Danio rerio: one gene and its partners. The protein of the gene in region 1 interacts with the protein of each later gene in a pairwise test. Links are inferred from orthologs where the notes say so. Each region holds a gene or a part of one and is shown in the gene's direction. Other genes may lie near its edges.

What was found.
Region 2: the proteins of stx4 (region 1) and bet1 interact in binary tests that used the Homo sapiens proteins (3 or more experiments, as listed by UniProt). The two-hybrid records come from large-scale screens. The link is inferred for Danio rerio from reciprocal best matches to the Homo sapiens genes STX4 and BET1.
Region 3: the proteins of stx4 (region 1) and cybrd1 interact in binary tests that used the Homo sapiens proteins (3 or more experiments, as listed by UniProt). The two-hybrid records come from large-scale screens. The link is inferred for Danio rerio from reciprocal best matches to the Homo sapiens genes STX4 and CYBRD1.

The regions. Positions count from the first base shown.
Region 1 is NC_133187.1:22,370,406-22,381,039, forward strand, and holds the start of stx4 (syntaxin-4), read left to right. Parts: upstream 1-5,067; 5' UTR 5,068-5,221; coding exon 5,222-5,251; intron 5,252-6,361; coding exon 6,362-6,469; intron 6,470-7,221; coding exon 7,222-7,321; intron 7,322-7,465; coding exon 7,466-7,540; intron 7,541-7,648; coding exon 7,649-7,719; intron 7,720-7,826; coding exon 7,827-7,935; intron 7,936-10,634. Other genes in the region: uncharacterized protein si:dkey-220f10.4, read left to right, coding at 1-54, 153-265, 344-458, 632-730, 2,647-2,818, 2,914-3,047. UniProt on the Homo sapiens protein: Plasma membrane t-SNARE that mediates docking of transport vesicles. Necessary for the translocation of SLC2A4 from intracellular vesicles to the plasma membrane.
Region 2 is NC_133194.1:43,528,461-43,539,094, reverse strand, and holds bet1 (BET1 homolog), read left to right. Parts: upstream 1-3,435; 5' UTR 3,436-3,561; coding exon 3,562-3,580; intron 3,581-6,227; coding exon 6,228-6,337; intron 6,338-6,442; coding exon 6,443-6,499; intron 6,500-9,233; coding exon 9,234-9,389; 3' UTR 9,390-9,684; downstream 9,685-10,634. UniProt on the Homo sapiens protein: Required for vesicular transport from the ER to the Golgi complex. Functions as a SNARE involved in the docking process of ER-derived vesicles with the cis-Golgi membrane.
Region 3 is NC_133184.1:3,506,121-3,516,754, reverse strand, and holds cybrd1 (plasma membrane ascorbate-dependent reductase CYBRD1), read left to right. Parts: upstream 1-6,184; 5' UTR 6,185-6,230; intron 6,231-6,691; 5' UTR 6,692-6,765; coding exon 6,766-7,008; intron 7,009-9,778; coding exon 9,779-9,933; intron 9,934-10,012; coding exon 10,013-10,223; 3' UTR 10,224-10,519; downstream 10,520-10,634. Other genes in the region: dcaf17 (DDB1- and CUL4-associated factor 17), read left to right, coding at 1,811-1,930. UniProt on the Homo sapiens protein: Plasma membrane reductase that uses cytoplasmic ascorbate as an electron donor to reduce extracellular Fe(3+) into Fe(2+).

The DNA.
Region 1 (10,634 bases):
AAAGGGATCTACCCCACTTATTACCTCCACATGGAGAAAGAGGATGGGAAACGGGTTAGCAGAAATGTTAATAGAGAAATATTTGAAAAGCAATTTTACTTTTCATTTCTTAACACACCATTACTCTCTTTCCTTTTGTTTGGGATGGGCAGGTCTTTCTGATGGCTGGCAGGAAAAGAAAAAAGTGCAAAACGTCCAATTATTTGATATCAGTTGATCCTACAGATTTATCCAGAGATACTGACAGCTACATTGGAAAATTAAGGTTTGTGCCATAGCAGTGACACATCACAAATCTTTATGCTTGTGAAGCAAATCCTTAAAACATGGTTTGTCTTCTCAGGTCAAATGTCTTGGGGACTAAGTTCACTGTGTTTGATAATGGTGAGAATCCTGAAAGGAAACCATTTATTAAAGAAATGGATACACTGCGACAAGAGCTAGCAGCAATATTTTATGTAAGATGGTTGTTGTGTGCATTAGATAAAGTGTACAGTAGGTTTCAATTGTAATTAATTGTATTTGGTTGTATATTGTATTTAGTTGTATTTTGTATTAGTATTCACCATACAGTAATTTTATATGTTTTTTTTTATTGTAAAATTCTTACTTTTTCTTTAATGTCACACAGGAAAAAAATGTTCTGGGTTTCAAAGGTCCCCGCAAAATGACAGTAATTATTCCTGGTATGCACGAAAATGATGAGAGAGTCGTTATTCGACCAAAAAGCGTAAGTTGTTCATTAGTTAATAAAGTTTGGATGATCACTAATATAATAAACATGGAAAGATTTAATTTCAATTTTTAAAAAAATATCTTAATCTTTGCAAGGCTGCATTTAATTGGTCAAATGCTATGCAATGCCACATAACTATTGTGAAATATTAAAGTTTTATATATGTGTATATATTTATAAATGTAATGAACCATGATATGTTATTTTTCAGGATTCTTTGATTAATAGAGAGGTCAAAGAACAGCAATTACTTGTCTTTTTATTCACAACATTATAAATTTAATCAATAATTTATAAACATTCAATATCTCTTTTGATTAATTTAATAAATCTTTGGCAAAAAAAATTATAGTTTAAAAAAATACATTTTTATTCTAGATATCCTTACACTTTTAATGAGTAGTGTATAAGTATAATATCCTGAAATATTCAGTCCCTCCATCATATTGCAGGTTTATTTATTTTTCATTCATTCATTTTCATTTCGACTTTGTCCCTTAATTAATCTGGGGTCACCACAGCAGAATGAATTCAATTCAATTTAATTCAGCTTTATTTGTATAGCGCTTTTACAATGTAGATTGTGTCAAAGCAGCTTCACATAAATGGTCATAGTAACTGGAACAGTGTGGTTCAGGTTTTAGTGTTTAAGTTCAGTTCAGTTTAGCTCAGTTCAGTGTGATTTAATCATTACTGAGAGTTCAAACACTGAAGAGCAAATTCATCGATGCGTAGCTCTACCAATCCTGAACCATGCGAGGCAGTGGCGACAGCGGAGAGGGAAAAAAACTTCACCTGATGGGAGTGAAGAAAGAAAAACCTTGAGAGAACCAGACTCAGTTGGGCACGACAATTTTAATTTCTCCGCTGGCCAAAACTCTTGTGCAGAGCTTCATTCGCCGTGGTTGAGGCTGGAAGATGGCCTCAATGAAGACTCGTCTGTCCCTGGAGCGTCGCTGGAATCAGACTCATGTTCTCCACTCCCCACGAACCATCAGCGCAGCAGCAGCTCAGGATATGGCCTGTTCCCGGATATGGAATCCTTGGGATCATCCGCCAACTTATCCAGCATATGTTTTATGCAGGTGATGCCCTACCAGCTGCAACCCATCACTGTGATACACTCTCATTCACACACACATACATTACAAACAATTTAAGCTTGCCCAGACTTGTACCGAATATTTTTGGACTTGTGGGGGAAACCATAGCACCCGGAGGAAAGACACGCAATCGCGGGGAGAACATGCAAACTCCACACAAAAACGGCAACTGAGCCGAGGCTCGAACCAGCGACCTTCTTGCTGTGAGGTGACAGCACTACCTACTGTGCCATACTGCGCAATATTATTATTTATATTAATAATATTAATAAATCAGTGTCACAGTAGCACAGTGGATAGCACGATCACCCCACAGCAAGAAGCGAATGCAAGATGTGAAGTATATGTAAATGCAAGAGTGTATGGGTGTTTCCCAGTGTTGGGTAGCAGCTGGAAGGGCATCCGCTGTGTAAAATTTATGCTGGATAAGTTGACAGTTAATTCCTCTGTGGCGACACCTGAATAATAAAGGACTAAGCCGTAAAGAAAATGAATGAATATATAAATGATATTAATAATTTTTTTTATCTGTGGTCTAAAAATTATTGATTTTGTGATGCCTTTCCTCAACACTTTTGATATTATTTGCTTCAATTATTGTTTTTTTTTTTATGTGAAAATACAGACAAACCTTGTAAAATGTGAAAAATGTTTGATCTCAATAACTATTGGACTTGCAAAATCCTGGAGGGACGGAATATTTATAAATTTAAAAAAAAATCTTCTTATGAGTTTGATTCACTACTGATTTATTTGTATGTATAGTAATACCATATTAATAATAAAGATCTACTTTGCATGTTCCAGGAGCTGGAGTCTCTGCTCACCCGATACGAGAACGGTAATAAAGAGAATCTTGTCACTCTAGTCAATAAATCACCCAGCTGGAATGAGCAAACTCAGTCGTATGTGCTTAATTTTCATGGCCGAGTTACTCAGGCATCTGTCAAAAACTTTCAGATTGTCCATCCAGATAATGGTATGTGTTTTTACTCGCAAATTATTTATAACATATGACAATATTACAGTTCCCAGTTGTGATTTTTTTTTTTGTGGCTCAACATCTCTCTCCAGTGGACTACATTGTAATGCAGTTTGGCCGGGTTGCAGACGATGTGTTTTCCATGGACTACAGCTTTCCCATGTGTGCTCTACAGGCATTTGCTATCACACTGTCCTCATTTGATGGCAAACTAGCATGTGAATAAGCTTTGTTTATGTGTATTATCTGTTCTTTTGAAAAAGGGAAACTTAGCAGTATTTTATGTTATTCAGTCAGGAATGAAAGACGTTTAGATTTGTATTATTCGCAAATGATGGCAGTAGAGCATCAATCTGCTTCTCTTATTTTGTTCTTATATGTTATGTGGTTAATTTGCTGAATTCAACTATGACTGTTTTATAAGCAAATAATGAATTATGCCATATTGTTTTTCTTTGTTTACATGAGAAAATTAAATTTTTCGTGTTAAATAAAAAGTTATATAAAGCTAACATGGAATATTATCTTTCATAAGATCACATTCTTAAGAGGATATTTCACCCGAAAATAAGAATTCTGTCATCACTGTGTGCGTTTCTGTTTATGTTACCTTGCCAGTTCCACGCCACCCAATCCGCTCCAAGCTAGTATCGAACCGGCGACCTTCCGCATGGGATTCGATTGCTCTAACAAGGAGGCTTAAAACCGCAAAGCGCAGAGCTATAAAAAAAAATCTAATTGTTGGGTTTGTATGTGTTTACATGCTAATCAGTAAACTAAAATGGTACTTTGAAAGACTTTTCACTATAATGCTCTTCTGGGAAGCAAAAACTTCTTCATGTCATCACTTTAAAATCTCCAGTTTTGGTTCTTCCTGTCAAATCTATTTTTAGGTTTATGATTTCCAGCTTTCGATTTTCTTTTCTTTCTTTATACAATTACTGATCTGATATCCGTTAAAACTCGCAATTCTGACTTCAAAACTCAGATTCTTTTTGCCCCCTACTGAGTGATGCACCCATGTGGATATGTAAGCCCGTTTTCGCCACTGAGTAATTTTTTTGAAGTAGTTATTGCATTCAGAATTTTAATAATAATTCCTTAACTTTATATAGCACTTTTCTGGACACTCAAAGCACTTTACACATTTTTTGGGGGGTGGGGGAATCTCCTCATCCACCACCATTGTGCAGCATCCACCAGAATGACGGCAGCCATATTGCACCAGAATACACACCAGCTGATTGGTGGAGTGGAGATAGAGTTATGATGCCATGATGGACAGAGGCTAGTAGGCAGCTTTGGCCAGGATGCCGAGGTTAACCCCTGCTCTTTTTTTTCAAAGGACATCCTGGGATTTTTAACGACCACAGAGAGTCAGGTTTAACATCTCATCTGAAAGACAGGACTCACTGACAGTATATTAATGTACCGGCGTGTTAGGAGACATACAGACAGCAGGTTGAGCTGGTCTCCCTAACACACTTGTGGCAATAACCTACAGTTGCTTTCCCATGTGGTATCCCATCCAGGAACTGACCTGGCGCAGCCCTGCTCAACCATGAGAGTTGCAGAGGGCTAGCTGCCGGCAATGCTAATTATAGCTGGCTTTATAACTCTTATGTAATAGCTTTATATAATTGTGACATATATCTCAGAATGCTGTCTTTATATCGCACAATTGCAACTTTATATTTCAGATTTCTGACAAAACCTGTAATTGTGAAGTATATCTCAAAATTCTTGCTTTATTTATTTACTCAGAATTGTGACATTTTATATCTCTGAATTGTGACTTTATCCTAGAATTCTGACTTCATAACTCTAAATTGTAACTTAATCTCTGAATTGTAACTTAGAGTTCTGACTTTATGACTTATATGTGAAAATTATGTCTTTATATCACACAGTTGTGACTTTATGTCTGAGAATTCTGACTTTATAACTCGAAATTTTGATTTTAAATCTCAGAAATCTGAAACAAAAAGCGGGAAAAGATAAAAACTGTTATTCTCTGGCGGAAATTGGCTTCCTTAAATAGCCTCAGTCGTGTCGCTCAGTAGGGGGCAGTAAGAGCCTTGACGGATTTGTCAGACATCCGCAAACTGATAGAGAAGAAGAAAACGGTAAAGTCATATACAGCGACATCGCCCCACACTGATCTCTAAACATAACCAGAGTTTATCCATATAGCATAGATATACACAGCATCTCTCAGCGTCCATCAATATTCTGCTCTGAAAGTTATTTGTGGAAGTTGGCTGGCGTGAAATGTGACTTTCAATGGAAACTCCCTCTTATCTGTTGTGAGTTTTGCAAGTTTATGGTCAGGAGACAGATGAGCTACACCTCTTAAAAACGGGAACATTTCATCTGAGCTGGCCATAAAATACATCGAAAATGCGGGACCGGACCAAAGAACTGGGCAATGTGAGTAATTTCAGGGCAGTGCACGCAGGAAACCGGCTAACTGGCTAACGGGCTAATGTTATTCAGCGGATGTAACTACTGTCACCACTGGCTCGACTGCGATTTATTAACTCCTTCAAGGATTGTAACGAGTCACAATCTATAGTTGTGTGGCTTATTTTCTTGTGTTGGAAAAATATATGGTTAAAGTCCACGAACGGTAGGCTAACACCCTCTTGCAGCACCAGCGCTCTTGGGTAAACGGGGTGTAACTTTATTTAGCCTACAAATAAATACAGCTGCCATGAATGGTTGCATTTGAATATTGATTTTAGTTTTTCTCACAAGAAAGTTAAGCGTTGAATTGGTACTTAACTTTTAGTTGTATTATTATTAATACACTGTCATTCGCTCGGCAATAAAGGTTTATTATCATCCGTTTGTTTTTTCACGTAATTGTGTTGTTGCAGTTTCTTCTGTGGGACTACATTTGCCTTTCGACAAACAAATACCTTTAAATGTCCCAAAGAGAGTCACAAAGGGTTAATTTCACAAAGTTTTTACACTAAATGTTGCACATACTGAAAAATATGAATCTCCTGTATATGGTTTTTACTTCGTTTTCCTGTAAAAGCAAAAAAACTATAATGTTAATAAATTCACACACAATAAAACACACTATCTGTCATGTTAACGTGTTTTTCCTTAAAGCTACTTTTTGTGTAATCCTAAATTAATTAAATTCAAATATATATTTTTCATAAAACATGTCAAGTAAATGTAAAATATATCTTGATTTAAGACTTTCACACATTTGCAAAACGACGAATATAGTGGAAGATGTTTTTTGTAATGTGATGAGAAGAGTAACATTTTTAATGGCTATTCAGTTTTGACTTTTTTTTGTAAGTTTAGAAATAACAGATCTGTTTACTTTTTTTTAAACTTTGAGGTATTATTTAAAATAGATATTTTGCTAACCTTATTTACCTTTATCTAAGCTGCAGAAACACTGTCTTGCACTTTGTATGGTGGTAATATTTTTAAAATATGATAACATACAATATAAAAATTTATTAATAACAATATTCTTAACTATATTCAGTGTCGTATTGTGTACTCTTTTACTAGACTGCTGATGCCTCAGATGAAGATGAAGAAACCGTAGCTCTAATGATAAAGCCTGGATCTGGAACCTCAGCAAATGAAGACAAAGAAAATGAAGCTTTCTTTAAAAAGGTCATTGTAGCACGATTGCTCTCATTTTAACTGCAACTTTCAATACTTTTATGCACTAGTTTTAGGGATCTGTACAGAAGTAGCATGTTGTTTCTGTAATTAATGATTTTTGAACTGAAGTGTGTATTGTTGGTTCTTGTATAATATAATTTAGAAATCCTGCAATTCTGAACTGTGATTTTCTACACTGCAGGTTTCTCACAAATACTGATTAGTACGGTGGCTGAGAGCGCTCAAATGTACTGCACCAACAAAAAACACCAATAAAAAAGCATTTTTTATCAATTATTAATGCAAAAAATGTACAAACAACAAGGAACCTTACGACCAGGACATTAAAATAACCATCAGACAGCAACCCTGACAGGCTCTAAACAGGAAGTAGCTGGGTTTGTCTCTTTTGGGGTTCCCTGACACATTTCTGTCATGTGCTCTTTGCATATGTGCATGTGTTGTGAGAATTTGCTTACACATATTGTCAAACGAATGAACACATTTTCTTAGTTTGGTTTTTCTATATGCATATCTTAGCTTACAGTACATTTGAGCTCTCTCTCCACCACCGTAGATTAGGAACATGCACATGCAAACAGTAATAAAGGAATGAAGCTGTTTAGTGTTTGTGCAAACTTCATGTAATGTCAAACATTACACATAAATTACATTTGGGTCACTTGAATTCCATAACATTTGTGCTTGGAAAGTTTGCATTGAAACTTGACATAAAAATATATTTTCTTTTTTCTATGTAGGTTCAGGAGATTCGAGAGGGACTTGAAACTCTTAAGAGAAAGGTTTCCGAATTGGAGAACAAGCAGAAAACAGTGCTAGGAGTTGCACTTCCAGAGGACAGTAAGTAATTTAGCTTTCACTTGGGTTTTTTATTATTCATTTACATAATCTTATGTTGTGTGTGTGTATTAATTAATAATTATGAAGAGAGTAAGTTAAAGGATAGTGAGTGAATGAGTAAATTATATTTTTCTTTGAGCACAGGTATGAAAAAGGAACTGCAGTCACTCAGAGAAGACATCAAAGGGATGGCCAGCCAGATCCAAAAGAAATTAAAAAGTGAGACTGATAAATAAAATTTTATAAATGAAGCTTTTTTTTTGACAATCAAACTTTTCTGCTCAACCTAACAAATGTGAAAAATTAATCACTTCATTTACATCATAGGTCTTGAACCTAAGAAATTGGAAGTTGAAGAAAAATATATCCCAGTGAATGTAAGAATGAGGAGAACTCAGGTCAGTTGCTTTTATATTTCATGTTTTAATAAATAATTAAACTTAAACAGTGTTGTTTTGCCTGAGAATAATCTGATCTTGTATGTCTCCTCATCATTTTTTGAAAGCATGGTGTTTTGTCCCGTGAATTCCTGGAACTGATGGGTCGCTGTAATACAATTCAAGCCCAATACAGAGACCGAAATGTGGAGAGGATTAAAAGACAACTCAAAATCAGTATGTGCTTATTCTGCTGTGCTTTTTTTCATTGATCTTATTAGCATTCTTACAAAGCCATCTTTTTAATGCACTGTAAGGCCTGGGACACACCAAGCCAATGGTCTGCTGTTGGACTTTGTCTGTCCGTTGATCAGGCTAGTTGGTTTGGTGTATTCTACGTGTCGACTCTCGCCGGGTTAACATTGTTCAATGGCCTGATTCAGTGTCTAGAATCGATGTCAGACCATAAGCTGAAGAGAGTACACTGACTGGTTATTCAGGAACGAATCAGAGCACGCGTGTGACATAGATAAGTCGTCTCCTTGGAATTATAAGGTTCTATCTGCATTCTGAATGATTTTGAAATATTGAACTTCAAAGTTTTTGCATTCCATTTGTTTTTTTAATTAAAAAGTCTTAACATGTAAACAACTAATGAAGAACATACCATGATGTTAGTAAGTTGTCATTTAATTAGAATATGTCAATAGCTCAATTTTGACAAAAATGTCAGATAGAACCTTATAATTCTAAGGTCACGAAGTGTTGTAGCAGGTAAACAATTCAAGTCAAGAAGGAACACTAAAAGGCTGGATGTAATTTCAATAAATTTCTCAAATATTTCCAACAATAATGCAATGATATGAATTATTAGATTATCAGACTGTTGCGCAGGCACAGAACGCGGCTATCATTTCAATGAGCTTTCGTCTGTTTGGTATGGTTACTCGCAGATTTTTGGGTCCATCAAGAACCTATGCAAAGTGACGAAACAGTTGGGTTTCATTAGCCGCATTTCCACTATCGGGCCAGTGCGAGCCAGGGCTTTTATCGGGCCAGGTCGGGCCAATAGCCCAGGAGGTTGAGCAGTGAGGCCGAAATCATGTCGCGTTTCCACTGTCGGGCTAGTAGCTCGCAGCACGTCATGCAAACCCAGCCCTCAGAACATCCTCCTAATCGAACGTCACCCAATCCGCCCACTTCAGCAGGAATCAGGCAGATAAAGCACACCACATGATTACGAAACTATTAAAATTAGGACAACCAAAACAAACAAATGACATGTTACTGTACAGCAGTACAATGTATGTCTATACAGAGAGTGCAGAATTATTAGGCAAGTTGTATTTTTGAGGAATAATTTTATTATTGAACAACAACCATGTTCTCAGTGATCCCAAAAAACTTATTAATTTCAAAGCTGAATATTTTTGGAAGTAGTTTTTAGTTTGTATTTAGTTTTAGCTATTTTAGGGGGATATCTGTGTGTGCAGGGGACTATTACTGTGCATAATTATTAGGCAACTTAACAAAAAACAAATATATACCCATTTCAATTATTTATTTTTACCACTGAAACCAATATAACATCTCCACACTCACAAATATACATTTCTGACATTCAAAAACAAAACAAAAACTAATCAGTGACCAATATAGCCACCTTTCTTTGCAAGGACACTCAAAAGCCTGCCATACATAGATTCTGTCAGTGTTCTGATCTGTTCACCATCAACATTTCATGCAGCAGCAACCACAGCCTCCCAGACACTGTTCAGATGTGTACTGTTTTCCCTCTTTGTAAATCTCACATTTGATGATGGACCACAGGTTCTCAATGCGGTTCAGATCAGGTGAACAAGGAGGCCATGTCATTAGTTTTTCTTCTTTTATACCCTTTCTCCCCAGCCACGCTGTGGAGTATTTGGACGCGTGTGATGGAGCATTGTCCTGCATGAAAATTATGTTTTTCTTAAAGGATGCAGACTTCTTCCTGTACCACTGCTTAAAGAAGATGTCTTCCAGAAACTGGCAGTAGGACTGGGAGTTGACTCCATCCTCAACCCGAAAAGGCCCCACAAGCTCATCTTTGATGATACCAGCCCAAACCAGTACTCCACCTCCACCTTGCTGGCGTCTGAGTCGGACTGGAGCTCTCTGCCCTTTACCAATCCAGCCACGGGCCCATCCATCTGGCCCATTAAGACTCACTCTCGTTTCATCAGTCCATAAAACCTTAGAAAAATCAGTCTTGAGATATTTCTTGGCCCAGTCTTGACGTTTCAGCTTGTGTGTATTGTTCAGTGGTGGTCGTCTTTCAGCCTTTCTTACCTTGGCCATGTCTCTGAGTATTGCACACCTTGTGCTTTTGGGCACTCCAGCGATGTTGCAGACCTGAAATATGGCCAAACTGGTGGCAAGTGGCATCTTGGCAGCTGCACGCTTGATTTTCTCAGTTCTTTGGCAGTTATTTTGCGCCCTTCTCATTACAGAGATGCACATCTAATATTCTTAATTGGTAGTAGGCTTTCGAGCCTATACAGCTTGGAGTAAGACAACATGCATAAAGAGGATGATGTGGTCAAAATACTCATTTGCCTAATAATTCTGCACTCCCTGTACACACATGCCTGTGTGTTCTCATTCATCGTATTCATTTACTCGCTGACCGACTGTTGGCATCGAAATCCAGTGGTCTTGCCACTAACGAAGGGACCCAGCGCAGGGAGCGCACACATCCATAATATAAAACCCCATATATAAAATTCTCCGTTAATAACTCGATATAAAATGTATTTTATGACATCCTCAGTTAGACAGACGATGTCCAACATTCATCCCAAATGCTCTGGAGAGAACTGAAACATGAACTTTTCCATATAGGCTTTTATGACACTTAGGTGATTCCCTTTATTTAAAGATGTTGCTTATCATAT
Region 2 (10,634 bases), on another chromosome or scaffold:
AACCTAAAAAATGTTACGTAACACATAAAATGGGTGACACAGTGGCAACGTCGGCTCACAGCAAGAATGTCGCTGGTTTGAGCCTTGGCTGGATTAGTTGGCATTTCTGTGTGGAGTTTGCATGTTCTCCCCAAGTTGTTGTGTGTTTCTTCCGGGTGCTACGGTTTTCCCCAAAGACCAAAGACATGTGCTGTTGGTGAATTGTATAGAATAAAACACGAAATACAGTTTCACCACAGACACGACAACCTGATTACGATACGAATGAAACAGTTTGATTCATACTCGTAATCAGGTCTTTGCGTCCGTGGTGAAACTGTATTTCGTGTTTGTAAAGTACACCCATCGTACATTTATCAGTCATATACAAACAGACAAAGAAAATGTTGTATCTGTGTCTGTTCTAATCGCAGATTTTGTATTTGTACCCTTGTAAATGTACGAGTACGTTCTGTTTTCCTTTACGCTGTTATAATTACAGATGCGTGAATTTTAATTATGCACGAAATATTTATGACAGCGATTTTATTCTATAAATTGGGTAAGCTAAATTGTACGTAGTGTATGTGTGTATGTCCTGGTCCTCCAGGATGGGGTTGAGCGTTGGGCTAACAACCGCTAACAACACACATCATAAACTAGATGTTAAGAAACCTCAATATGGTGTGGCTAAATATCAGCTTCGATATATATGGGTCTGGGAGAAAGTAAGTAACATAAAATAGTTTACATTAAAAATGTAGACTCATAAATATATATATATATATATATATATATATATATATATATATATATATATATATATATATATATATATATATATATATATGGGCAATTCCACGCAAATGTCAACCTTGCCATAAAAAATTATTTAGTTTTCAGCAAAATAGACAAACCGTTTTTACATTTTTTGTGTTAGCAAGTATTTTACAGTACTGTAAAAATACTCGTGAATGTATCTGTCAGTATTTCAAACTATTATATTTAATTTGCCAAAATCACACAAGTGGCAATTTCACAGCTGTCACATCCATAACGGAAATGTGTCACATCCATAACGACACTTTTTCTTCATAAATGCAAAAATGTCAAATAAAATAAAATCAATCATTTTAATTCTATAGTGAGCCGACTCATACCTGTTTGATGAGCATTGTGTCTTTTGGGTTGTGCAGTTTAACTGTCAGAATTTCTAAATAATCTGTTGTCGACTGTAAATTCGCAAACTTTTTTTGTCACATCCATAACGCATGTTTATTTTCCTAATTTAAAATATAAAACATGTTTACATATTGATATTTTTGTGCTCCCATAACTCTGTGGTGAGCTATTTTGGAAAATATAAACAGAAGTTTCGATATAATGTCAACATATACTTTCTGTGTGAAATTATGTTTTGAGTTTTTACTGCAAATGTCACATCCATAACGCTGGAATTGCTCATATATATATATATATATATATATATATATATATATATATATATATATATATATATATATATATATATATATATATATATATATATATATATATCACAAAATGATTTCTTCATTTGCCAAATTAAATCTGCATTCAGTTGCTTTGACCAATTTTTTTGTGTGTTACTGTCTCTGCAACAGGCCACATTTATTTATTTTTAGCTTATCATATGGCTCCGTAGGCTACAACTTGGCACTACATTTCGTCACCTTAGAGTTATAAGGTTCTATCTGACATTTTTGTCAAAATTGAGTTATTCACATATTCTTATTAAATGGCAACTTATTTACATTATGGGATGTGTTTTATATGTTGTTTACTTTAAGGCTTTTTATTTAAAAAAACAAAAAAGGTGTATCTACAAAGTTGAACTCTAGCTTGGCTCTATAAGGTTCTATCTGTGAGCCAATCAGCATTTTTAATGCATGCACGAGGACCAATTAGGATTAGCTTTCTTTGTCATTTCGCCGAACTTCTCTATTGACAGCAGGAAACACCAGAAAGACAAAATCACACAAAATCAGAGTCGACTAAATAATGCCACACCACACAAAATTGAAATGTGTGTAAATGTAATGATTTAGAAGCATTTCTTGACACTGAGATTCATTCATTAATTTTCTTTTTGACTTAGTGCCTTTATTAATCTTGGGTTGCCACAGCGGAGTGAACTGCCAACTTATCCAGTATATGTTTTACACAGCGAATGCCCTTCCAGCTGCAACCCAACACTGGGAAACACCTATACACACTCAATCACACACATACACTATGGCCAATTTAAGCTTATCCAATTCACCTGTACCGCATGTCTTTGGACTTGTGGGGGAAATCAGAGCACCCAGAGGAAACCCACACAAACACGGGGAGAACATGCAAACTCCACACAAAAATGCCAACAGACCCAGCCAAGACTCGAACCAGCGACCTTCTTGATGTGAGGCAATCGTGCTACCCACTGTGCCAACGCGTCGCAAACATTGAGATGAAATGCTCAATTTTATATTGTTGAAAAAGAAATGAATATTCAAAAATTTGCATATTAAATGTAAAAAAATATTTGTGTATATATAGTCAGTGAAACACTTTTCAGTGTTTATTAAACTCATTTGCTCATAGTCTGTTTCTTTTAAAGTCTGGGTAAGTTTTTTTAAACTGTGAGGAAACCCACACTAACAATGGGGGAACATGCAAACTCATTCATTCCATTCATTTTCTTGTCGGCTTAGTCCCTTTAATAATCCGGAGTCGCCACAGCGGAATGAACCGCCAACTTATCCAGCAAGTTTTTACACAGCGGATGCCCTTCCAGCCGCAACCCATCTCTGGGAAACACCCAAACACACATTCACAAACACTCTCATACACTACGGACAATTTAGCCTACCCAATTCACCTGTACCGCATGTCTTTGGACTGTGGGGGAAACTGGAGCACCCGGAGGAAACCCACACCAACGCAGGGAGAACATGCAAACTCCACACAGAAACGCTAACTGACTCAGCCGGGACTCAAACCAGCGTCCTTCTTGCTGTGAGGCACTGAGCCACCATGTCGCTCCCATATAAGGCTTTGTACTATCAGTTATAAAAAGTAAAACAGTTCTTTGAAAGAACCTCAGAATGAAGATAAATTCAGAATTGAGAGAAAGTCTATACATTTTCTATAAAATAAATAATAGTGTCACAGATTTTTGAAAATCTGACTTGTCTTAGAGTCTGAACTGTGAGAAAGTCTACAGCTGTTTGCAATTTTTCAATTAAATTAACCCTGCAAGTCGTGTCAACTTACTTTTGAGAAATGAAGTCACAGTTTGCTGAAGAAAATGTTAGAATTATGACAAATAAAGACAAGAATTAACCGCAATACTCGCAGTAAAAACTTCAGTACCCAGAAGCCCATGTAACTTAAACGCGTATCGTTTAATCCTCTGCGGCTTCCGTAAGAGGTGTCGTGGCGCTTGTGAAGTTGGAGGGGGAAAGTACAGATTCTCTAAATATCAACATTAGCGAATATTTGTCACATTATTTTACAGACTGCAGTGATCGTATCCACGTCATATAGATTACTGGGTTGACAATGAGGCGCGCTGGTTTGGGTAAGTTTGCGTTTTTATGTGTCGTATTGCTTGAAGCTTATGCTAAGCTAAAATCTCAACTCAATTAGAAAACTTAACGTTATTGGTCACAGTTTATGACAGTAAGCAATCTCTGAATGACCAAATCATCACCCACACATTAACGTTAAATCCAGGTGTGGAGAATTAACGTTAACGTTAAATGGATAAATAACGTTTATTAACGTTCTTGCAGTAACTAGCAACTCCTATTTCTCTATTTCACCATCGTTGTTATTGAGGTGAAGTTGTTTTTATATTCGAACATTTGTTCTGTGACAGCTCCCTGTATTGTTTACCTTTATGCTAGTTTGAATATTCGGACTGAAATCACGTGTAAGTATGACTACAAAACAACACTATATAATTTACTGTGAACAATGTTTTTAATAGTCTGCTAATATAATTTCCCTATTTAGAACTTCCAAATAATACTTTTCTGAAATCATATTATTAAGGAGAAAGTTCGAATGTGTGAATTTAAAACCAGCTTTACGTCAGTGGCGTTATTTATTAATCATGTTTACATATATATTTATATCATACAGAAAAGCAACTTCTGTGTATGAACAACACGAGATACTGTAACAGCATAAATATGACACATCTAAGCTGAAATTAAAAAACCTTCTATTCGAAGTAGGGCTGGGCGATATTAAAAAAGAATTCAAACTCGTTAATTATTTTCCATATGAAGCATAACATCATATATTTCAATACAAGTTGGCAATGCTTCCAGATTTAAAATAGTACTTTAACATTGACTGAAGCCACAAAAATAAGAGTCCATTAGATCAGTAGTTCTCAAATTAGGGGTCGGGACCCCTTGAGGGGTCGCAGGACAATGAAAGGAAGGGTCGCCTGGGGATTTCCAAACATCTATTTATTTTTATTAAACCGGAATTACCATATTGTAACCTACTGAAGAGAAAAAAAGTCATTTAGAGTTACTATAAACTATATAATAACTTATAGTTACTAGTTCTATTGGATTGTGACCCCTGTAGTAATTACATAATATTAAAGACACAGCAATAGCATCGGATGCAGCAGATTGATTTTATACCTGCTTAAACTTTCTGGCCCATTTACAGCACTGAGATACATTTTAAAAAATTACACAAAGAATAAACCTGGGTGTATTGGCGTGTGTGCACCATTGCATGCAAGGTTTCTGTATTTATAACAACCTCAGATGATATTGGGGGTCGCGAGTCACTGGCATTGTCATTTTGGGGGTCGCGGGCTGAAAAGTTTGGGAACCCCTGCAATAGATGGCAGAACATTTTTTTCCAATAAATTTCCGTGGCTGAAAATTCGGTGCATCTCTAATATCAACACCCTTTTGGATTCCCATTGTTGCACATTTCTGCTGTGTGATTTGCTCTTAGATCAATATAGAGTAGAAAAGTCAAGAGATTGTCATTGTTATTGACAAAAATTTTATTGTGATTCGATATAATATTGTTTATCGGCCCAGCACTAATTTGAACAGTAAAGTATGATTGATAAAGCAAATAAAACCCATTTTAAACTTGATAAAATGAGGCACCAAGCAAATAATCTACCTTTTAATTTAAAAAAACATTCATTATTTTGCAAATTTCAACATTTTGTCTCATGTAGACAATCAAGATTTTATCCAGAGTTTTTACTTTTCGATTTTAAATAGTTTCTGATGAACATTTCAATCTTATTTGTTTAGGTTTTTCAAATTCACTTCCAACTTTAGAGAATATTTGATCAATCAAATCAGTGCATACTTGTCAATTACTCTTAAAGGGATAGTCACCCCAAACAATTTTTATATTTCACAAAAGAAGAAATTTTAAACAGAGCTAAAAACCTGTAACCATTGACTTCCATAGTATTTGTTTTTGCTACTATGGAGGTGAATGGTTACAGGTAGCATTGGCACAATACTGGAATTCGATACCAATCGGTACTGAAATTTTACAAACGTCCATTTCCTGCTTACATTTGAGCGCTGTTGAGCCCATTCTTAAACACTGTTGATTTGCTGTTGTGTTCACATGCTCAACAGAAATGACTGTGATTGGCCGTGAAGGTCATTAGTTCACCAAACTCAACACTGTTTACTGAGTGTAAACACAGATACAGGGACACAAGCATTTTAAAGTCACGTCAATCAGCTGGTTTGTCTATAACTTCACATACAAGCGATCTGCTGATGAATTGCGGCTTTTAAATGCTCCAGTGTCTGTATCTGTGTTTACACTCAGTGAACAGCAGTGAGATTGGTGAACTAATGACCTTCACTGCCAATCACAGTCATTTTTGTTGAGCATGTGAACACAATGGCAAATCAGCTGTGTTTAAGAACGTAATCAACAGTGTTTAAATCTTAGCAAGAGATGGATGCTTTTTTAAGCTTCAGTATCGATTGGTATTGAATTCCAGTATCGTGACAACACTAGCTACTAGTTTGAAACATTTAAAGGGCGAGTAAACATTGACAGATTTCATTTTGTCGTGAACCAGTTCTTTAAGGCAACATTTCAGTTTACTGTAATAAGATTTATTATTTTTAGTACTAAATACTTGATTTTAAATGTTTTTTTTTTTAAATTCCGTTGGATTTGACCTGACCTGAATGTTTCTTGTACAGGAGAAGGTGGCCCTCAAGGCAATTACGTTGCGAGCGGATACAGTGTGTATGAGGAGGAGAATGAACATCTACAGGAGGGACTGAGAGATAAAGTACACGCACTTAAACACGTGAGTGGCCTTCATATCTGATGCTCTATTTTGATTAACTACTCTGCATAACTATTCTTATTTTTGGAAAATATGTGTTTAATCTTTTAATTATGCCTTTTGCAGTTGTCTATTGACATTGGAAATGAAGTCAAGATCCACAATAAGATGTTGGGAGAAATGGTATGTGTCAGGAAGTTTTTCAATGTCTAGTAGGGGTTTCATGGTACACTAAAATGACTTTTGTTTTGAAGTTTGGTGTTTTCTGTTTAATGGGTGGAAAAATTCATAACATTGATGTTTTTACTATACAAATTGTGGCTGTGTCTTTAAATAAATTCAGTTAAAAGTACAGTTGATATTAAGGGTAAAGAAACTATAAATGTACAACTGCTATTGAGGGGAACAACTATAAACTATATATGGAGCCTTATTATTTAAGCATTGCTATATTTAAGTGTACAGTTTCCAACAGGGACCTTTATTAAATTCAGTTGCAATTAGTTTTTAGATATTGAAATCCATGCTAAAATAATTCTAAATGCAAACATGAGACTGTTTTTACAATAATTTAAATCTAATTATGAAATTGTTTCTACTCCAATTAGTAATCCAATTCCTTTGTAACGGATTCATTTAAACGTACATTATATATTAAATATGTATTGAAAAGTATAAGAATAAAGCATTTATTGTTTGAATTTTAAAGTAACAAAACAAAGCTTTTATTTGTGCATCTGAAATAGGGCTGCACAATCTTGGGAAAAATTGACAGTATTTAGTTTTTCTGCGATATATTGCGATATTGATATAATTTCACAAGATTTGTACCACAAATGTATGAGATTTTCCCATTGAGTCCTTGGAAGTGTCAGGTGCAAATAGAAAGGTGTTTCTACATGTACAGCACACACAGAAATGCACAGTGTGTTTCAAGAGGGGGACTGTGGCGTCTTAAGCCCCTGATGTATTGTCAAAAGCCCCTGATCTTTTGTTGGAATATGTTGCACTTAAATAAAAATAGGTTGTATAAAATTTATTTTGTTATCAAAGTTTTTAAAATTAGCTCATACATCACTGTGCTCCAGTTAACGCAGCTATTAAGTCATGTAATTAAATTGTCAGCTATTCTGCAGTATCTGTTTCTACCGGCAGGTGGGAGTGGCACAGTTGTCACATGGTTTTAAAAAAATCCCATCATCATCATTCATTATTTTGAGGAGCTGATGAGGTAATAATACAATTCGCAAAACTGAATAGTTGTAACTACTGATTTTTTAAATAGCTTTTTTTAATTTGTTTTCACAGTAAAAAATGTGTGTAGTTTTGGTGAAATACAATAACTAATTGATCAAATGTGCATCATATCAATGTAAATACACGCGAATTAGTCAGAAAAACGTAAATTGTACTAGCTCTCTAGATATGATATAGATATCTAGGCATATTTATCTAGATATGATATAGCCAGGCACATCTGTTTCTGTAATGGTTAAATCACAGTGAGGTAATGCATCTTATTATTTTATAGCTTCTATTTAACATGCTTTATCAGTTAGCACCGAACTTAGTTAGCACTTTACAAATCTTGAATACCAATCAGAGACAAATGGGTGTTCAGCACTGCCTACATGTGCATTATTAATTTTAAAATCATCTATCCATTTTCCTACCCTAAAAAAAAACAACAACAAAAAAAGTTTGTTCTATTGCAAACAAAAGAAAACCGAAAAACGTCAGTTTTCTTAATTTTCCTTTTTTTGCTTGAAAACAAATATGAAATGGACGGAAGATTCCCTGATTGTGCATGAAGATGCTTTGTTGTGTGTTTTAGAATAAGTATTTTAAAATGCAATATTTAATGTGTCAGACACAAAATACAAGTTTTTAAATTAAATAATAATTGAATATTAATATGACCAGTTAATGGTTAATATTCTGTTAACAAGTGGCAGTTGTCAGTTGGCAAAATTAACTGAAATGAGCATCCCTAATTTCAATGTATTATGGCTAAACTTTGCAGATCTCATCTTCTGAGCGGTGGTGTTGGATTTAGTATAATCCCATCTCAACATTGCAGATCCAGGGATGTGACAATTTCACATGCAGACATTGAATGCTGAAATTGTGCAGCTCTAAATTAAAAAGTGTTCTGTTGTAAAAAAAAAAAAAACTAAAAGATTGACATTGGGATTTAAGAATAAATATTCATGCATTCACATTAAGGCATTCTAAAGTTCCAATTGTGCTGTGGTTAAAGCAACGCTGTAATCTTTTGAAACGTAAGCATGCTAAACAAATTTACAGTATATACAGTTGAAGTCTAAACTATTAGCTCTTCTGTGAAGTTTTTTTTTTCTTTTTCAAATATTTCTTAAAAGAGGTTTAACAGCAAGGAGTTTTTCACAGTATTTCCTATAATGTTTTTTCTTCTGTAGAAAGTCTTATTTGTTTTATTTTGGCTTGAATAAAAGCAGTTTTTAATTTTTGTTTTTAAAGTCATTTTAAGGTCAGTGTTATTGGCCCCTTAATCATTATTTTTTTCTCGATTGTCTACAGAACAAACCACTGTTATACAACGACTTGCCTAATTTAACTTGTCTAATTAACCTACTGCCTTTAAATGTCACTTTAAGCTGAATACTCTGGAAAAATATCTAGTAAAATATTATGTACTGTCATCATAGCAAAGATAAAATAAATCAGTTATTAGAGATGAGTTATTAAAACTAATGTGTTTAGAAATGTGCTGGAAAATATTCTCTCTGTTGCACAGAAATTGGGGGGGGGGGTATACAGGGGATAATAATTCTGACTTCATACGTGTACTTGCATGTTAAACCCCTTTAATTAAATTTCTTTTTTAAGATAGTAGTATTGTGAATAGCTTTAATATCTGACTCGTTTTCTCCTTAAGGACTCAGACTTTGACTCGACTGGAGGTCTGCTGGGAGCCACCATGGGCCGATTGAAGCTCCTCTCCAGGGGAAGCCAGACCAAGGTGTACTGCTACATGCTGCTGTTTGCTCTGTTTGTGTTCCTCGTCCTGTATTGGGTCATCAAACTCAGGTGACCACACAACTCCTGAGATCCAGGACTTTATTACATGCCATGCTCATTTGGGGTAGAAGAGCAAAATCCTCACACTTATGATGATGGTAATGATGATAATGAGGAGGAATTAAGGGGAGCAAATGTGCTTTTCTGGCCAGTGAATTAGAAATTGAACCATTGAGTTACAATGTGCAATATGAGAGAAAAAAAAAAAACATCTGTCCCCAAAATTACAGTCTCTTCAATGGAGAAATGCTACTTATACTGGAAAAACATGCATATTTAATTCAGTAATAATTAAACATTTGTTTGTGTTATTCTTTTAAGAGAACTTCATTGCTATGAATGGGTGATGATTTATAAATTCTAATGGATTTATATATATATATATATATATATATATATATATATATATATATATATATATATATATATATATATATATATATATATATATATATACTATTGAAGTCAATGGTTACAGGTTTCCAGTTCAAGGCAGTTTCCAGAAGAAAATCAATCATGTGTGTTTGAATAAAATGTCATTTGTCTTCTATTCTGTAATCTATTAAAGGTCCCACAGAATCAAAACAGTGACAGAATTCAAGTTTAGAAGATATAAAACTGATATGAACATGTCAAGCTTATAGATTGTCACTTCACCCAAACGAATCAACTGTTTTATTCACATGAACCTCATACTGCAGTTTCTCATCAAATCATAACCAATTTACTGCTCTCTAGTATCTGACATGCCCCGGCCCGCCCCTATTTTGTGCTTGAGCTGACAGAGCGGTGATTAAACAAAACGCTATTGGCTGTTTTTAGGGGAGGAGTTACCCTGCCCCACCCTCTATTGGTGTTTCGGTTTAAATTTACGTCAAACATCAGATAAAACATCCACATTATAAAGCACTTCATGGGACCTTTAATGTCATCACTTCTGAATCTGCAAATAAATTAGAGCAATGCAAATTATTCATTAAAGCATCAATGTTTCAGTTTCAGCAGAGTTAACAAAGCAATATTTAGTGGAATAAATAAATTGGGCAAAAATACATATATAAAAATACATATATAATAAAATACATGTATAAAATAAAACAAATATTAAAGTTTTACTCAAATGCATACTTGGTGAATCCAGTTCCTCCAGAGAAACTGAGAATTTTCAAGCGGTTCATGATTCAGGTTATGATAAATGCCCAGAACTGAAACCTTATTCATTTTTATTTTTCCTCTTTACAACATTGTTTGCAAGAGT
Region 3 (10,634 bases), on another chromosome or scaffold:
GAATCAACTCATCAGAACATAGTTAATGGGTCAGATGAGGAAGACATCCAAAATATGTACTGTTGGTGTGTCTTCGGCAACAGAGTTGGGAAACACTTGTCTAGGCCTGCACAATAAATCATTTTTAAACTGAAAAAACTCATATTTGGCCTGTAAGTGCTGCTTCTGATAAAAGACACACACACACACACACAAATGCAGTCTTTTATATCTTTCTGACTACAAATGTATAGTATAGGCCAGTGTTTCCCAATCCTGTTCCTGAAGGCACACCAACAGTACCCATTTTCAACCTCTTCCTAATCAAACACGCCTGAATCAACTCATCAGAGCATTAGAAGAAACTCCAAGAGCTAAAGTTAATGGGTCAGATAAGGGAGACATCCAAAATATGGACTGTTGGTGTGTCTCCAGGAACAGGGTTGGGAAAAACTGGTCTAGGCCTGCACGATTAATCACTTTTAAACCGAAAGAAACTCATATTTAGCCTTTAAGAGCTGCTTCAGATAAAATACACACACAAATTCAGTCTTTACATCTTCCTGAATACAAATGTATAGTATAGGCCAGTGTTTCCCAACTCTGGTCCTGAAGGCACACCAACTGTACACATTTTCATCCTTTTCCTAATCAAACAAACCTAAATCAACTCTTCAGAGCATTAGAAGAGACTACAGAAGCTGAAGTTAATGGGTCTGATAAGGGAGACATACAAAATATGGACTGTTGATGCGTCTCCAGGAACAGGGTTGGGAAACACTGGTTTACACCTGCATGTTAAATAGTTTTTAAACCAAAAGACACTCGTATTTGTCCTTTAAGTGCTGCTTTAGATAAAACACATACACACACACACACACACAAATGCAGTCTTTGAATCTTCCTGACTAAAAACGTGTTTTCTAGGTGTTTCCTATGTGTTTGCCAGTGTTTCCCAATCATGTTCCTGAAGACACACCAACATTACACATTTTCAACCTCTTCCTAATCAAACACACCTGAATCAACTCATCAGAACATAGTTAATGGGTCAGATGAGGAAGACATCCAAAATATGTACTGTTGGTGTGTCTTCGGCAACAGAGTTGGGAAACACTGGTCTAGGCCTGCACAATAAATCATTTTTAAACTGAAAGAACTCATATTTGGCCTGTAAGTGCAGCTTCTGATAAAAGACACACACACACACACACACAAATGCAGTCTTTTATATCTTTCTGACTACAAATGTATTGTCTAGGCCAGTGTTTCCCAATCCTGTTCCTGAAGGCACACCAACAGCACCCGTTTTCAACCTCTTCCTAATCAAACACACCTGAATCAACTCATCAGAGCATTAGAAGAAACTCCAAGAGCTGAAGTTAATGGGTCAGATAAGGGAGACATCCAAAATATGTACTGTTGGTGTGTCTCTGGGAACAGGGTTGGGAAACAAGAGTCTAGGTCAGCACGATTAATCGCTTTTAAACCGAAAGAACTCATATTTGACCTGTAAGTCCTGCTTCAGATAAAACACACACACAAATTCAGTCTTTACATCTTCCCGAATACAAATGTATCATCTAGGCCAGTGTTTCCCAACCCTGTTCCTGAAGGCACACCAACAGTACACATTTCAACCTCTTCCTAATCAAACACGCCTGAATCAACTCATCAGAACATAATAAAACCTGAAGTTAATGGGTCAGATGAGAAAGACATCCAAAATATGTACTGCCGGTGTGCCTCCAGGAACAGGCTTGGGAACCACAGCATTAGACGCTATTTTTTTAATTGCTCATAATTCAAAGGTTCTCCTTTGTTTTTCCAGACCTACAGTCACGAGGTGTACTTTGACAGAGACACCATTATTCACACTGTCCAGGAGAAGAACAACAGCTTCTGTTGCCATGTTTATAAAATGAAGAGACCGGCTTCAGACCAACCATAATGAGCATGCTTCATATCATGTAGACCAGGTCCTGGAGGTCTGGTGTCCTGCAGATTTTAGCTTGCCTTAACACACCTAAAAGAATGTTTCTAGAAAGCCTAGTAAGAGCTTGATTAGCTAGCCCAGGTGTGTCTGATTGGGGTTGGAACTAAACTTTGCAGGACACACAGGCCCAGGACCGAGTTTGGACATGCCTGATGTAGACAAAACAACGTAATAAAAGATGTCTGTTACTGTATTATAATGTAGATATTCTCCTATGTTGATGTTTGACAACTCGAGAGCAGAAAATATATATATTTTTGTATTATGAAGCATGAATCTTTCACACTGTCATTTGTATTGGAGAAATTGCTGATCAGTGAGCATTCATGCATTGACATCAATGACCTGACACGGTTCTGTTTACTAATTTATATCAGTATGCAAACATTAACTCAAAACTATCTTAATAAAGACAGAATTTTGTGACAGATACTCTCTTGTCATGATTGTGAAACCAAGTTACGTTGTATAACACTGTGGTTGCTTACAAAACTGTCGAGGAAAAAAAAAAAAAAGAAAAGCAGCCTGTGTTTCATTTAGTGAGCTGACAGACTTCATGAGTTGCCTACTTAGACAGCATGAGGTGTCATAAGTCTAAGCAGAGAGACATTTTGAACAAAGATTATATTTTAGCTAGAGATGTACAGTTGAAGTCAGAATTATTAGCCCCCCTGTTTATTTTTTCCCCAATTTCTGTTTAACGGAAAGCACATTTTTTTCAACACATTTCTATACATAATAGTTTTAATAGATACTAATAGATATTTTTCAAGACACTTCTATTCAGCTTAAAGTGACATTTAAAGGCTTGACTTGGTTAATTAGGTTACCTAGGCAGGTAAGGGTAATTAGGCAAGTTACCTTCCTTTTTTACTATTAAAAGCACATTTTAATTTAAATGTGATGTTTTTTGTTTTTATTTGTTTTTTACTTATAAGCGCAGTACAGTGTTCATGTTCAGACTATGTATAATATTTAAATGGCTGACACTAATAAATTTTCTTAATAATAGTAATTCATCTGCCACGTTTTTGAACTGTGAAGAGTTGTGTCTGCTTTACTGGGCCTACTATGGCTACGCTACTGTTTTTCAGTACTGCCCATGGAACTTGGAGAGACTATTTTTTTCAGAGGTGGTACTTGAGGAAAAAAGTTTGAAAGCCACTGCTGTAGGCTATCGAAAAAATAATAATTAAGCTTAAAGGGGCTAATAACATTAACCTTAAAATGATGTTTATAAAATTAAAAACTACGTCAGAAAAAAAAAGTCTCTCCAAGTTCCATGGGCAGTACTGAAGTACAGTAGCGTAGTCATAGTAGGCCCAGTAAAGCAGCTACAACTCTTCACAGTTCAAAAATGTGGCAGATGAATTACTATTAATAAGAAAATTTATTAGTGTCAGCCATTTAAATATTATACATAGTCTGAACATGAACACTGTACTGCGCTTATATGTAAAAAACAAATAAAAACAAAAAACATCACATTTAAATTAAAATGTGCTTTTAATAGTAAAAATGGCAGGTTACTCTCAATGGTTTTTCCTTCACTTTCGTCAATTGGTGAAGTTTTGTCCTCGCCACAGGTTTGCTAGGTTTGGCTCGCATAGATGGATTTGCTCTTCTGTGTTTGGACTTTCAGTAGTGAAAGCAACTCAATTCTGAAAACTGGACTGACACTGTTTCCATCTATTATAATATTCTATGTTAAACTGCTTTGACACAATCTACATTGTAAAATTGTACAGAAATAAAGATGAATTGAATTTAGAAGTATTTCTTGAAAAAGCCCTTCTTAATTTAATATTAAAACAAGAAAAATAACAATTTAACTAAATTCAAACTAAAATTAAACCAAAAAAAAACAAGAATAGTTTGCTTGTTTTAAGGAAAAACTCACTTAATTTTGACTGATCCTATTCTCTGAAAAACGCTTCTTAATTCAAGATTATTTAAGATATTTGAACTATAGAAACTAATTTTTTTTTTGGATGATGCCAAGTATAAAAGTCAAAATCAAGATAGTTATATACTTTAATAAAGGATTTTGCTTTCATATTTTGAGAACTTCCACTCCCCTGCTACTTATTTTTCTTTATTCATAATTTTTTAGATTTTTTTTATTGTATTTTTATTTATATATGCTGTCAAAATGCACCAATCGATTTGTGTTGGAATGACATGAGGCAAATTAAGTTATTAGTTTTTACAAATTTAAGTGGATTGAACATAAAACAATTAAGCAGTCCCCAAAAAAACTGAAGAAGTGTGTTGTTTCAGCTCATTTTTAATAAGTAGTTTGAACAAACCACAAACAATTTTTTTAGATGTGTTATTAATGCATGAAAAGATTGTAAATGTAAATCTCAGTCATTTGTGTCATTTTAAAGGTATTAATGCTTTTCTATTCAAACGTTGTTAATTAAGAAAAGATGCTGCCCGCCCAGGCGCCATATTATGATTTGGGACACATCCCGTTGTTTGGGTGAGAAGTGAAAACGCGAGCCAGCCCCCAAACTGACGTGTCTTGTGTGTGTTTTCCTGCAGCGGGTCAGTCAGATGTTGAGTGTCATCTAGTGCACTTCAGAGCTCGAGGATGATGGAGAACTACCCGCAGTTTCTGCTGTTCTTCATTCTGGCGTCGGTGGTCGGGATTGTGTCGATCGCGGTCGCTTTATCCTGGGTTTTACACTACAGAGAAGGGCTCGGATGGGACGGAGGAGCGGCTGAGTTTAACTGGCACCCGCTGTTGATGGTTATAGGCTTTATTTTTCTTCAAGGAATCGGTAAGGAGTTGAGTGTTTGCATCTGTTGAGACAGTCTGAGGTTTCACATTCCTGAGTGTGTAATCAGGATTTAAAGCAACAGGTCACGTTTATGACCCACACAATTACATTACAGTTTTCAAAACATTTAAATAACTTAAGTAGCCCACCTTAATGTGTCGTAACGTTGCTTTTCTCATGATTTTGGGTGTGATATGAAAACGGACAGTATAATGATTTAAACTCCGAACAAGTGCGTTTTTTCGCAACAATAAACAAAGCAAAATAAAACTAAACTCGCATGAGGTTACTTTTAACGGAACGTTAAAAACTTTTTAAATACATTGAACATCATTAGAGAAATGTTCCTTGTTTTCTTTAGGGTAAATGTTAGACTTGAATGCTTTGAATGTTGTGTTTGATTGACGTCTAAACGCAACTTGGCTAATATGGAGCCAGATCAGTCTCAAAAATAAAACATTTACAAAATAAAGTTCATACATGGACAGCACAATTCACATTAACAAAATCCACATTGAAATTTAAAACATAATTTGTAAATACGCTACATAACACACAATTTGTAAGTTCACCAGTTAAAAATCTAATATTGCCAATTGATTTGTATTTGTGTATTTACGAATTGTGTTTTGAATTTACGAATTGGATTTGCGTATTTATGAATATGATTTGTGTATTTATGAATCATGTTTTGAGTTTACAAATTGGATTTGTGTATTTATGAATCGTGTTTTGAATTAACGAATTGTATTTGTGTAGTTACGAATTGTGTTTTCATTTGACAAATTGGATATGTGTATTTTGGAATCGTGTTTTGAATTTCCGAATGGCATTTGTGTATTTACGAATCGTGTTTCCATTTAACGAATTAGATTTGTGTATTTTTTAATCATGTTTTGAATTTATGAATTGCATTTGTGTATTTACAAATCGTGTTTTCATTTGCTGAATTGGATTTGTGTATTTACAAATCGTGTTTCCATTTGACGAATTTGGATTTGTCTATTTTTGAATTGTGTTATGAATTTACGAATTTCAATTGTTTATTTCTGAATTGTGTTTTGAAATTCCGAATTGTATTTTTGCATTTTACTAATTTTGTTTTGATTTGATGATTTGGATTTGCATATTTTTTACTTGTGCTTTGAATTTATGAACTGAAAATGTGCGTTTCTGAATTGTACTTAATTATTGGATTTTGAGTTGTAGATGTATTCGTTTTATTTTGTAAATGTATTATTTTTGTGACTCTAATCTGGCTCAATAGCTAAAGCTAGGCTATATTTAGACTGTCAGTAAAAATCTAATAGACATAAAAAAAAATAACCCAAAACTAGACTTTTGCTGATGTGCACCGATTAGACAGACTTCACGTGTGTCGGTATTCATTCCTGTCTAATTGATGTGTAGTCTTGTTTAAGGCTTTTCTTAAAATTTTTCCCAACTGCCTATAGGTAGCCTTGTTTTAGGCCAGCCATCTATGTCTAGACGTCTATTAAACTTCTTTTAAACACAAAAATACTTGCTGAGATGTAAGGATGAAAAATTACACGTGTTTAGTGGACATCCAGCTAACGATGTCTAACGATGACAACATTATGATGTGTCAGTATGACCGCATAATATTGAACACTGTATTAATGTTACAGAAAGAACATTTAAAAAACACTGAGAGAACATTTCCAGAATGTTAGTGAAAGATCGGAGAATGCTCTTGGCATTGAGGCAAAGTGGGTTTTATATTCGCACATTCGTTCAGTGACAGCTTGTGACGCGCTCCCTATTTTGTTTACCATGGTAGTCACATGACCTCAAAACAACATCAGCACTGTTTAATTGACTGCAAACAATGCTGTATGTTGATAGTCATTGGCTGCTAATATGATTTCCCTACTTAGAATTTCCAAAGAATACTTACTATATTATTAAGGAGAAATGTTAGTTTCTTGGGACATGTTTGTATTCGAGTATTTAAAACGTCATCGCCCCCCTCATGGCATTTGAATGCTCTTCACGTCTTTTTTTTCTTCCTCCTCAGCAATTGTAGTGTACAGACTGCCATGGACCTGGAGGTGCAGCAAGCAGATGATGAAGTTGATCCACGCAGGGCTGCATATTCTCGCCTTCATCTTGGCTGTGATTTCTGTGGTGGCTGTGTTTGTTTTCCACAATGCCAAAAACATTCCCAACATGTACAGTCTTCACAGCTGGGTTGGTCTGGCTGCTGTCGTACTGTATCCATCACAGGTATGAGTTCACGGACACTGGTGTACATCTACACAGGGTCGAAGCAGGTGCTGTAAGTGAAGTTTTAGTTCTCATAGAGGTAAACTGAATGTTTGGCAGATTTGTGTAAATCAGCGGTGAATGAAGTACACATTTAAAAATGCTGCTTGTTTAAACTACTTATTTAAAATAAGCTGAAATGTGGTTCAGATTTTCACTTTTAATTGTTAAATATATATATATTTTAAATTTCAAACTTTGAATTTGACTTTATTTTCATTGAAATGACTACACATTACTGGCGAGGCAGTGGCACAGTAGGTAGTGCTGTCGCCTCACAGCAAGAAGGTCGCTGGTTTAAGCCTCGGCTCAGTTAGCGTTTCTGTGTGGAGTTTGCATGTTCTCCCCGCTTTCGCGTGGGTTTCCTCCGGGTGCTCCGGTTTCCCCCACAGTCCAAAGACATGTGGTACAGGTGAATTGGGTAGGCTAAATTGTCCTTAGTGTATGAGTGTGTGTGTGTGGATGTTTCCCAGAGATGGGTTGCGGCTGGAAGGGCATCCGCTGCGTAAAAACTTGCTGGATAAGTTGGCGGTTCATTCCGCTGTGGCGACCCCAGATTAATAAAGGGACTAAGCCGAAAAGACAATGAATGAATGAATGGACTACACATTATGTAGTTGTTTCTTATACTGTGAACAGACGTATACTGTGTGCAAGTCTGTATGTAAATTTCCTAGGCTCTCTTATTGCATTTAAACAGCTGAAAAAGTTGACATGTAAATCGTAAATAAAATGAATGAAGCTGTTTTATTGATACTGACAACGTTCAAATGACTTTAAGGACAAAAGCATATTTTGTGAGAGTCAGTTTTAGTTTAAAATAATATGAGAATGGACATTACCAAATGTTAAAGGGTCACGAAACACCAAAACTCTACTGAAAAAAACAGCTTAAACCAGCCTAGGCTGGTTGGCTGGTTTTAGCTAGTCGACCAGGCTAGTTTTAGAGGGGTTTTGGCTACTTCCAGGCTGGTTTCCAGCCATTTCCAGCCTGGTCTTAGCTGGTCAAGCTGGGAGATGGCCAGCTAAAACCAGCTTGACCAACCTAGCCAGGATGGGAGCCCAGCTAAAACCAGCTATGTCCAGCTTAAACCAGGCTGGTCAAGCTGATTTTAGCTGGATTTAGCTGGTCATTTTATAGACAGACCAGCTAAATCAGGCAGGAAATGGCTGGAAACCAGCCTGGAAATGGCCAAAACCCCTCTAAAACCAGGCTGGTCAACCAGCTAAAACCAGCCAATCAGCCTAGGCTGGTTTAAGCTAGATATTTCAGCAGGGAACCCATATTTTGAGATGTTCACAGTAATATATGTTAGTAGTCCCATGCTGCTATAAACACTATAGGGACACGTATATTTCACACACAAAAAAAGAAAATTGGTTGTTTTTGCGTTATTTTGAGCAAATTCGTTCTTGCGGTTTGAAACCAATTTTTGAAGCTGCGTCACGGTGATTAGATTCTTGTGTGTAATCCAGCGTGGAGAGGGGGATAAGTTTGTTAAAACAAAAAAAAAAAAAAAAAAAAGAGGCCATGCAAAAGTGGAGACCCAGGTGGTTTTATTATTACAGAATATGTTTTTCCACTATTCATAGGTTTTACACTGATGTAGATATATAATACAAACGAAAATTAAGTAACAATTATTTCTTTGATAACTGGAAAATAATATTTGAACCTATCAGTTTACAATATGCCCAATTTCTAGGCTTTATTGGTGGTAATGGTCAGGAATGTTTGACCATTATTTCCTTTTTAGTTTATAAGTGGAGGACAGAAACTAGCCAGACAGTAATGTGTGAATTGAGTGGGCAAAAAAATAATAATAATAACGTCATAATTTTTTGTAAGTGTACTTTTTTTGTTGTTGTTGTTTTATTCTTGCCATAATAAAAAATATAATCTTAGAGCAACCCATGTTTTTATTTGTATTTAACTTTTAATCGGTAGAACTGTACGGTAGATATGAACAAAAGCAAGTGATGCATCAAAATTTGATTTAAAAAATCTTGAATGATTATAAAAATCTTTATAATCATCATAATAAATTATAAAAAAACAATTAGTTAAAAAATCTTTAATGATATTAATGATATGACGAAGTTGTGGAAACGTTCTACTGCTTTGTTTATCCGTCTGATTTTACTGTCTTGTTTCTTTTAACCGCCCCCTGTCATTAAGAGAATATCTCAATGGCGGTCAAGTATAAAAGCCTCGTCCGTTTCGTGAGGTGTGCGATGCGGCGCCAGGCAAAAGTATAAATCAGCCTTAAGATGTTTGTTGGTTTTTTTCTGTAGTTCAGTGGTGCATCTAACCTACCTTTAGTACTGTTCAATTTAAATACATTCATTTTACCACTAATTTAGTAATTTTTTTTTTCATTTTCTCTTTGTGTATGCGTGTTTTTGATATTGTGATATAGGTCTTAAATTTAATACCTAATAGTCTTCAAAAGGTCTTAAAGTCTTAAATTTGGCATTATGATATCTGCAGGCTTGAACCATGCAGATTTTTTTGTAAAATATAAACAGATCTTTCAATATAATGTTAACGTATATTTTTACTGTTTTGAGTTTTTACTGCAAATGTCACATCCATAACTCTGGAATTGCTCTGTTTAAGAATGGTTAAAAGACCCCTGCTAATCGTCTAGATATGTATTGGTATTTCAGATGTGTGTGTGTGTGTTGCATGTGATCGGTTTTGATGTAGCTCTTCTTTCTGGTGATTCAGATAGTGTTGGGGATCGCTGTGTATCTGATACCCGTCACCCCAGTGCGTGTGCGTGCAGCTCTTATGCCTTTGCACATCTACAGCGGCCTCTTCATCTTCATCAGTGTCATCGCCGCAGCTCTCATGGGCATCACTGAGAAACTCATATTTAGCCTGTAAGTGCTGCTTCAGATTAAAAACACACACACAAATACACTTCCTGACCACAACTGTGTTGTCCGTCATGTGTTTCAGGAAAAGTCCTGCTTATAAAGACTCTCCTCCTGAAGCCGTGTTGGTGAATGTTCTCGGGCTGCTCATTGCTGCATTCGGTGCACTCGTTGTCTGGATTGCTACTCGCTCCGCTTGGAAGAGGCCAAGAGAGGAAACGGCGCAAACGTTGTCCAATAACACCACAAGCCCAGAGGAGATCAAAGTGGGCACTGATATGACCACAACAAGCTGAATCCAACTTCGAGATAAGCAGATGTATTGGAAAGCAGAAGAGTCTGCGTTGTAAAGTTTGTTGATGCCAGTTAAAGGGTTATTTCACTCAAAAATGTCAACTCTGTTATTAATTACTCACACTCATTACGTTCCAGTCTCCTTGAGCCCTTCATTCATCTCAGTGAAGGGAAGTTCAGATCATTTTACTGACTCGGATCTTTGAGTCTCGTTCATCGAGATGAACGAATCCTTTTTCGAGTCATTTCGTTCAATTTGCCAAAATATTATTAAAATGTTATGAATTGCTTCCAAACATCTACAACTAGCCCAAAAGGTTGATCACACCACAAATGTCATAACTAGAATACTATAAGAGGAGAAAATAATAGTTCGAAGTTTACCTGCTGTTTCGTCTATGAAGGTATTGTTG